Caenorhabditis elegans: one gene and its partner. The protein of the gene in region 2 interacts with the protein of the main gene of each other region in a pairwise test. Each region holds a gene or a part of one and is shown on either strand. Other genes may lie near its edges. The genes, in order: gpc-1 and gpb-2.

Region 1 (3,590 bases), on a different chromosome or scaffold from region 2:
TTTCACTTACAAAAAATATTATATTAGATATTTAGCGACTTTGTGTTTGATTTAAAAAATTTTTATTTCAAAAAGTGGCAACTGGTGAGAATTTGCCAATCTTTGAGAATGTAGCGTATTCAAATTCTACAATGTTTGAATTGTAATAGTTGGAATAAAAGAAGACCATAAAATTCGATGGAATTTATTTTGATCGATGAATTCCAAAATAGTGGCAAAAACTGAGATTTTGTTTTCCATTTTCCATAATCATAAAAAATGTTAGAAAATCGTAGTGCCACATGCACGAGTTTCTAAAAAATAATTATTTTTAATATTTGCAATATTTGTCCAGAAGCTGTTTTTTTTTCAAAATTTTTGATGACGGTAAAATCAAAAGGAGTCTTTATATTTCATTTATCAAACTATTTTAAAAACATTCGTAAAAACTAGTCTACTCTGCCTAGTGTTTTCTAACAGACCTGGCAATTCTGAACAGTATGGATGAAAAAAGACTACCTTCGATTTTCCTGTCAATTAAAATTATGAAAAAATGAAATTTTTGGTTGCATTTTTCACATACAAACATTTTTATACGTTTTTTCCAAATAATGAACATTCTCACAATAATCTTGACCGTTTGTCTCGTGTAAATAGCCGTTTCTAAAAATCATGGGTTATTCATTTTTTTGATTTTTTATAACATTTTGATTTTTTACTTTTTTATATGATTCAAAAATTCATTTCCAAGTCCTTTCATAATAACGTCTGATGTTTTAAATTATTGTTTATAGATGCATAGGAAAGTAGAAAAAAAAATAATTAAGAAGTATATTTTTGCGGGAAAAAGCTTTAACTTCACAAAAGAGTGCGATTCTACTGAAAAATTTCAGAATGACAGTCTTTTGTGAAGCCAATGCTAAAAAAACCCAATTGGCTAGATCGAAGTGATCAGCGCAGATAGCTACAGAAGACAATTCCAAAAACAAGAAGATTGCAAGTTAGATTTGAGATCGGAAATTGAGATTTGGTGAACGTGTTGATTTTCTTGTGGACTGAGAGTTCAAAAACGTGTAGCTAAAACAATAGAGCAATAATGAATAGAGAAATGATGGACAGTAACGTGAATTGTGAAAAATCGGGACGTGTCTTGAAATGCCGGTAGATAATGAAATTTGAATGCGCGATATCAATTTAGAGTACTGAACAGCTTTTCTTCTCTTGGAATGGATTGTGCTGATCGGTTGGCCCGGAGACCAGCATGTCGTTGGTCTTGTTCTTCTCGCAAAAATCGAGCAGTCTGAAATTATAGTTTGATTGCATATAAGTAAATATTTCACTTTTGCTATTTGATATTCCACATTGTCATATATATTCTTGTAATTTTCGATGGTTACAAAAATTCGATTCGTTTTTAAATTATTCAAACATCTGAAACAATTTTGTCGTTCTGTCGGTTCTGTCGAAATGGTTGTGACGACATTATGTACTCTAAATATCACTAAAATTGTGAAGTATTTCAAAACTATACTTTTGTGTAACCTAATTTTAGTTATGCGTTGTTTTCGATTGCCTTGAAGATTTTTCGAGTAAGTTATTGATTTTCCAAAAAAAAAAAGAAAATCGTTGAAAGAATGCCTACCAATAAAATATCGACATTCATTATTTCTACAGTTTAGTGCTTGCCACAGTTAATGAACCTGGCCACAGTTTGATGAAAGAACTGGAGCAAATTATGCCATATTACGATGTTACGTATCACACTTTCTTTAGGATATAAAGTACACTTTTAGACAAAAAAAATACCAACAAGAAATGTGCAATTTTTACATTAATAATGAGAATTATCCAAATAACGTCTCGGAGTAGCAATACTAAAAATAGATACCTATTCTCATATGTAAATCACCTTTGCTCATAAAAAATAACTTACTCCTTTGAAACTTCGGAAACTTTTTTTCGTTGAATGTTGGCCTCAGCACAGAGTTGTTCGGTTGATGCCTTGATGTTTTCCATCTCAGATGGTTTCTGGAACTGAAAGAAACGCTAATAAATTTTCAAAATATGATAAAACAAATCTTCTTCTCAATAGCGAAAACTGGTGAAATGAGTAAGGTAGCTGGGAAGAAAAAAAGCGAGGAGACAAGTTTGGTGTCGACGCAAAATGAGTAGGTTTGGTGGGTGAAACTACCAATTTTACGATCGGAGCATTTGCTCTTTTGTCGAAATTAAAGGGTTTCGAGGCAGAAGAGCTCATGTGCTAAAACGGTGTTTATAATTAAAAGATTGAAGACTGAGCTATGTTTAATAAATAGATTGGAGAGGATTTTACATCTGGATTCTGAGACTCTTCACGACAAAAGAGAGGCGGTAAAAAGTGAAATCCAGTGTGAGAACTGACGACGGCCCTATGCGCTCTTCATCATAAAAAATATTGTTCGGGATTAAGTCGTCCTCCCTTTTTCGTTTCTCTTCCTTTTACTCTTAGTCAATCCACAATTCAGGGGATTCGGAGGGATTTTGGCGCCAGCGGATTTAACATTGATTTTATTATTGAACATTTTTGAATATTTTTGATATGCTACATTCAATATAATTTATACGTAAATATCAAATTGGCCAGAAAAATGTTAATTTTTAATAATTCATCAAAATAACCATACAAAATACGTTGCGGCTAAAATTCTTAAAAACTAATACTTCTACTAACTCATTTCTTTCTCAATCTAAAAATCACTCAGTTTGCAAAGCTCTGTTGATCAAAACAAGAACTGAATGAATCGAATCCAACTCTTTATAGTTGTTTTGATTGGATTTGTATTCAAAAATTTGTCAGTGACCATTTGAATATAGATTTGGTTTTTTGTCTCGATTCCTAGATTTGTTATTTGTAAAAAATCAGGAACAGGCAAGATGATTTGTATTAACTTTCTGACTTTGAAAATATTCAACACGAAATTGTATTTAGTTAATAGCTTACGATCACATTTAGTATTTCTTGAATTTTAATCAAAATTAAATTATTTTATATGCTATTTTAATAAAACGAAAATTGCGTTGGACAGCAGAAAATTATAACAAACTGAGAAGAATATGAAAATTACTGAAAATTATACAACTAGGTTCTCAAATAATGTGAAACCCCAATTTTCGTTTTTATTTGGACAGAACTAAACTTTTTATACGCTTTAAATGGATCTTATTGTATATATGTAAAAAGCTTTCATTGCTGATAACTCCCATAATTAAAACGTTAAGCATAAACCACATAAATCTCTTCACTATTCAAAACAAAATTTAACGCTTCGTGAGTCAGAAGTAAAATCCAAAGAAACGAGCTATACTAGAGTTACTGTCGAGTTTTCGTGATTTTAACAAAATCTTTACAAAAAAAAAAGAGTCCAGAAAACTCAACAAGTCAGCAGCTCGCTCTTTACTTTCACCTGTTTTATGTTTTCTTTTCATCATTTCATAACCAGATAGCATAACTCGTACCAATCAGCTTTCTTATCCAAACTTTTATTAGGTGTGGTTGCCCATAGTTACTAAATGAGCTATGCGTTTTATACTCTAATCATATTTTGACAAAGCTGCAAAGAAAGGTGATTAGG
Region 2 (5,245 bases):
ATTGAGCCACTCACGATCAGAAGGAGTCCATTGGCATGCCCACTTCCAGTTGTCGGACAAGCTTGCCCAGAAGAGAACGTTTTCTGGTACTTCAAGTGCTGCGGACAGATTGCTGATCAGTGTTGCTTCCGTCTTCAGGTAATAATTCATTTTTCAAAAGATCTGCTGAAATTTAAATATGTTAATTTCTAAATTTGTTTCTTTCAGGATTGGGTTACTGTTCTTCTTCTCTTCCTTGCCGTCTGCACGATTCTCTCGATCATCATCAACTGCGTCAGATGCTTCTGCTGCGCATAAGTATTTGACTTATAATTTTCACATTTCTTCATCAAATCTTCGGGGCAACAGTTTTATCAAAATTTCCACTTTTCTCTTTATAACCAATTCACTGAATTTCTTCCTTTTAATATTCTCTGATAATTTGCCATACGTTGCTCATTGAATACTCTACTTTCCACACTTCTTTCTTTTTTGTTATGTAATTTTCCTTTCCTCACAGTTCACCCTTGCCTTTTTGAATTGTATTTTAACAGGTGTATTTAGTGAATTCTATTTACATCATTCAGCAATGAACGAGTACTTTACAGTATTTGTGACTAGAAAGTTGAGATAGGAGAAAATAGTGGGATGGTTAGATAATAGTACAGGGATAGAGACTGGTGGGAAGGGGGATGAGTAAAGTGACATAAAGCTCAAAAATTGTAAGAGAAAAATTAATATTAAATAATCAAGCCCAAATGCGAATTGTGCAATCCCAGCTCGCCGAGCAGACGGCTGTTCCATCAGGAGAAGTTCGGAGGCAACTAATACGATTCTCATGTCCATAAAGTACTGAATGACGGGCGCATTTCAGCGAATCCCATACACCGACACGATAATCACCATAACCAGCAAATAGAATACGACCTGTAATTTTTTAATAGTTAGAGTGAAAAGTTTAGTTCTGTGAATTTCAGAGATGCATTGAATTGATTTGGACTATACGTTTTTGTGAAGATTTAAACGTACCGCTCAAACTGAAATCGACTCCATTTACGGGGAACAAGATTGATTCTTTTTCATACACACATACTTGACGATCTGCTCGAAGATCGAATAAGCGACACTGGAAAAAGTAATATTTTCAGACAAAACAAGCAACTCTCGCGACTTTCTCCCAAACTATAATTTTCGAAAAATGGAAGAATAACCGTGAAATTTAATTAAGATTCTCTTGCACGGCCATGTGTCGATTTACGCAGCTCGTGTACTCCCCGAGGAGAAGTGGGCATATTGTCACTTCTTCTCGAGGAGTACACTAGCTGCGTAATTCGACACATGGTCGTGCAAGGCTTCCATAATTTCCCATCCCTTCTCCAATTTTCAATAATGAAGAAGTTTAAACACTTGTGACTTACAGTAGCATCATCAGATCCAGTTGCAAATGCATCACCATTTGGATGAAATCGAACAGTATTAATATCAGCTTCATGTCCTTCAAATGATTGTACACATTGTCCTGAACGAATATCCCATACAAGAGAATGTTTGTCAGCTCCTGCGGAAATAAATGTATTTCCAGTATCACATTTTGGAACATCGATTGCAAATACATCACCAGTATGACCATGGAAATTCTGAATTTTTGAATTGGGTTTCCGATTCGCGAGAATAAAAAACCTGAATAAGTTGTCCACTTTCAACATCCCAAATAGCACATGTTGAATCTCCACTTCCAGTTAAAATAAGATTATCCGAACGAAGGAATGTACAACATGACATATAAGAAGTATGAGTTGCTACTTGTCTTTTCTTTTGAATTATATCATCTTCAAAAGAAAGTGGAACGACACTGCATTTATTATCAAGTCCTCTGTAAAATTGGAATTTTTGAAAATTCAAAAAATAATAATAAAAATTTTTAATTAATAACATGAAAGCTTCAAAATTGGTAAAGTATACATGAGCCAATTTTTGAAAATTCCGTCTGTAAGAGCTCTTTTATAATTTGAAAAAAAAAACAATAAATTCTCATGAACACTATAAGTCCGTGTACTACCGTTTGTATTTTTTGAAAGCTTTGAAGTATTTGAAAGAAATCTTACCCGCAAGCGATCATTTGACTCGATGGAGAGAATGCACATGCCATAACCCAAGTTGTTGGCATCGTAAGAGCATGTTCCTTATTCGTAGTAAATCCATCCCATACAATCACTTTCCCGTCCTAAAATTTACTAATTTGAGCAAATTCATTTTAGAAATCGAGGTTTCAATTTTTGAAGACTACTGAATCTTTTGTAAGTCATATTTTAAACCAACCTGAGATGAAGAGACGATATGTCTTTTATCCAATGACCAATCCATGCATAATACTTTTCCCACGTGTCCTTTTAAAATTCGACGCTGTTTTACACCAAGAGCTCCCATAACGTCAAGTCGTTCGGCTGCTTGTTGAACTGAAAATTACTTAGGATGTAAAAAACTACTTAGTGCGTTTTGGGATTACTGTAGTTCTTGGTAATAGTAAATTAGGCATAACCTCAAAAAAGTCAAAGAGAAAACATTTAGAATTATGCAAATATCACAAAGCATATCTGGTATCTTTTTGTTCATCAAATTATTTAACTCAAATTTCTTTAAAGTTTTCAAAAACTTTTTTCAACTTTTTTCAGTCAAACAAGTTCTCAAAAAGTCCAACTTCACCTAGATTTGACAATTTACCAAAACTTAGACGTAATTTTTGGTGTGTATTGATATTTGGGCAATTATAATATTCGGTTATGAAGAACCGCATTGATATTTTTATTCAATATCCTCACTGATTGTGAGCTTTTAATTCAAAAGTTTATTTTTTCAATAAAAAAACAAAGAAAAAAGACTCCGGAGGATTTCTAACCTAGGAATTGTAAAGTTCAATTTTTTAGTAGTGTTCTTCTTCAAAGTCCCTCTTTTTAAATTGAAGTATTCTAATAAATTATCTTTTTAATTTTTTTCAAATACTTACTAGGAATGTCATTAAGCTTGTGCCTCTCTTGATCCAATTTCTTTCTAAGCTCTTCGGCTTCATTTGCCAATTGTTCTAAATATTCCGATCTGAAATAATGTAGTGTAACCCTTTGTAATGTAAAATGTACAAATACCCTTTTTCGGTTGTTGTTGGCTGAGAGTTTTCTGGCATTTTCGACGAGGAAGACGATTCTCCAGCAATGGTGCTCATTCAAATTGCGTTTCTTTTTGAGATCAGAAGACGAATTATGCAAAAAAAGGAAGAGAAGACTGAGGGTTGAAGAAAATGAATTTGAATAGAACAATTAGAGATGGGCGGTTTGTTTGAGGTTTAGAGGCACATTTTTCCTGAAACATTGCTATTAAAAAAATAAGTTTGAAGTAGCCAAATTCTTAAAGGACATGCCTAGAAATGTAAGAAATATATAGGAAGATCAAGATCATTTACATGATTTTGGATTTTAATTTTTTATTTGAAACAACAAATTAGACAACAGTTTGGCACAATTGAAACGAGCACAATGTAAAAAGAATTTGATTTTAAACCAAAAACATGTTGATAAGGTAATTCAAAATATCGTACTACCATTACTATTAATTTATATTTGCCTAAGGTTTTGCAATGATCGGAGTTTCACACATTTTATAAGTAACGTTTATAAAAAATAAAAGTAAAAGCCTTTTTTGCAAAGTTATTCTGTTGAACATGCTCAAAAATAGGATGGATGTGGCTACATTATCATTAAATTATCATAAATTTGATGGTATTGATTAAGACAAAACTATATTCGCCACGACAAAAAGCCGTCGAGGGCCCGAAATCATGGTGCAATGAATTCTATTTGCGTGCCTTACTCCGCTATGTCTCGCTTCTCCCTCTTCACTATTTTCTCTATTTCTTTTCTCGTTTTGCCGAGCGGTCCTTTTTGCAATGGAAAGAGAATGCAATGCGGTCGCGTCGCGGTTTCTGGGAAAAAGATGAAAAGAGACGGAAGAGATGTGGAAAAGAGAGTGGCTCGAAGAACGGGATGAGTTAAAATTAGGCAATGCACATGTCTTGATGGTTTTTGTGAAGTGAAATTAATTATAAAAAAGTGCTAGGTTAGCTTAAAAGTTGAGTAAAACCAGTTTAAAAAGTCCCACAATCGTTTTAGGTTTTTTGAAAAAATAAGTTATGGAAAATTGTCAAATTTTTGCAACTTTATCCTTCGCAGGGAATAGCATTGTGGAATGCTCTAAAACCTACAATATTATAATAAAAAAAGGCATAAGAAAAATAGGAAACTCGTATAAAACATATTTTTCTGTCTACTTGCAGAGTTATGATGTGTGAAAATGAGAATTTACCACTTTTCGACAGCGCATAAACATATTCAACTTTTTTCTGAAAAGCTTTACTATGATATTGATAATTAACAATGTTATCACTATAGAAGTGGTTTAAATAAATTCCCCACTAAAACCAGAAATCTAGACTAGCTGTAGCTGTAAGACACTTCTTGTACACCGGTAGTTTCAGTGCCAATAATTTTAAGACTCAAAATATTTATTCAAGCGTAATATACAAGCAGAAAAAGTGAAAGACAGAAAAATTAATATCGAGAAACATTGTAGGCATCAGGTCGGTGAGCAGTTGCCGGAGCCGTCGACGAGGTATAATAACGATCTTCAGCAGAGAACATGACCTGATCACCAGGAACCATGACACGAGATATTTCAGAATCTCTTGGTGATGAGTCCACGTGGATTTGACGTGGAGCTTGACGAGTGTGTTGAATATAATTAGCATTACCAGGAATATTATCATAATTGACAGGAATTGGAACAGGAGCAGATTGGGCAATGATAGGAGATGAGACTAAACTGAAATATTGGCTATTTTTACTGAATTTTTTAGTTTGTATGTGAAGCAGTTAGAAATGTCTCAAATCTATGAAATTCAAGAAATTTGATTGAACTGAAATGCAATTTTGTCTAGAATATATCCACTGGAAAAATTAAAATTGACAAGTTGAAATACCTTGTTGAGTATTCTTTCTTTGATTTTTTCCTCTGAGCCCAAACCATCCAGCGAACCAAATTCCAGCAATACACACACATGGTAAGCAACAACAAAAGAGCAATAGGCATATTCCAACAATTATACCAATAATCCTTCCGGCATACCAAAAATCGTCACTGCAACAAGAACCCCTACAGTGATACGTACCAATTGCTCGTTATGCTTAGAAATTATGAATTGCAATGGAATCAACATGAA

What was found.
Region 1: the proteins of gpb-2 (region 2) and gpc-1 interact in a two-hybrid assay, tested with the Caenorhabditis elegans proteins (one study listed by BioGRID).

The regions. Positions count from the first base shown.
Region 1 is NC_003284.9:12,880,417-12,884,006, forward strand, and holds gpc-1 (Guanine nucleotide-binding protein subunit gamma), read right to left. Parts: upstream 2,014-3,590; 5' UTR 1,996-2,013; coding exon 1,913-1,995; intron 1,280-1,912; coding exon 1,174-1,279; 3' UTR 755-1,173; downstream 1-754. UniProt on the Caenorhabditis elegans protein: Guanine nucleotide-binding proteins (G proteins) are involved as a modulator or transducer in various transmembrane signaling systems.
Region 2 is NC_003279.8:7,317,753-7,322,997, forward strand, and holds gpb-2 (Guanine nucleotide-binding protein subunit beta-2), read right to left. Parts: upstream 3,334-5,245; 5' UTR 3,197-3,333; coding exon 3,120-3,196; intron 3,073-3,119; coding exon 2,984-3,072; intron 2,436-2,983; coding exon 2,299-2,435; intron 2,204-2,298; coding exon 2,085-2,203; intron 1,853-2,084; coding exon 1,660-1,852; intron 1,617-1,659; coding exon 1,398-1,616; intron 1,106-1,397; coding exon 1,009-1,105; intron 907-1,008; coding exon 728-906; 3' UTR 538-727; downstream 1-537. Other genes in the region: F52A8.1 (DUF2650 domain-containing protein), read left to right, coding at 1-138, 208-297; F52A8.3 (uncharacterized protein), read right to left, coding at 4,578-4,843, 5,006-5,163. UniProt on the Caenorhabditis elegans protein: Guanine nucleotide-binding proteins (G proteins) are involved as a modulator or transducer in various transmembrane signaling systems.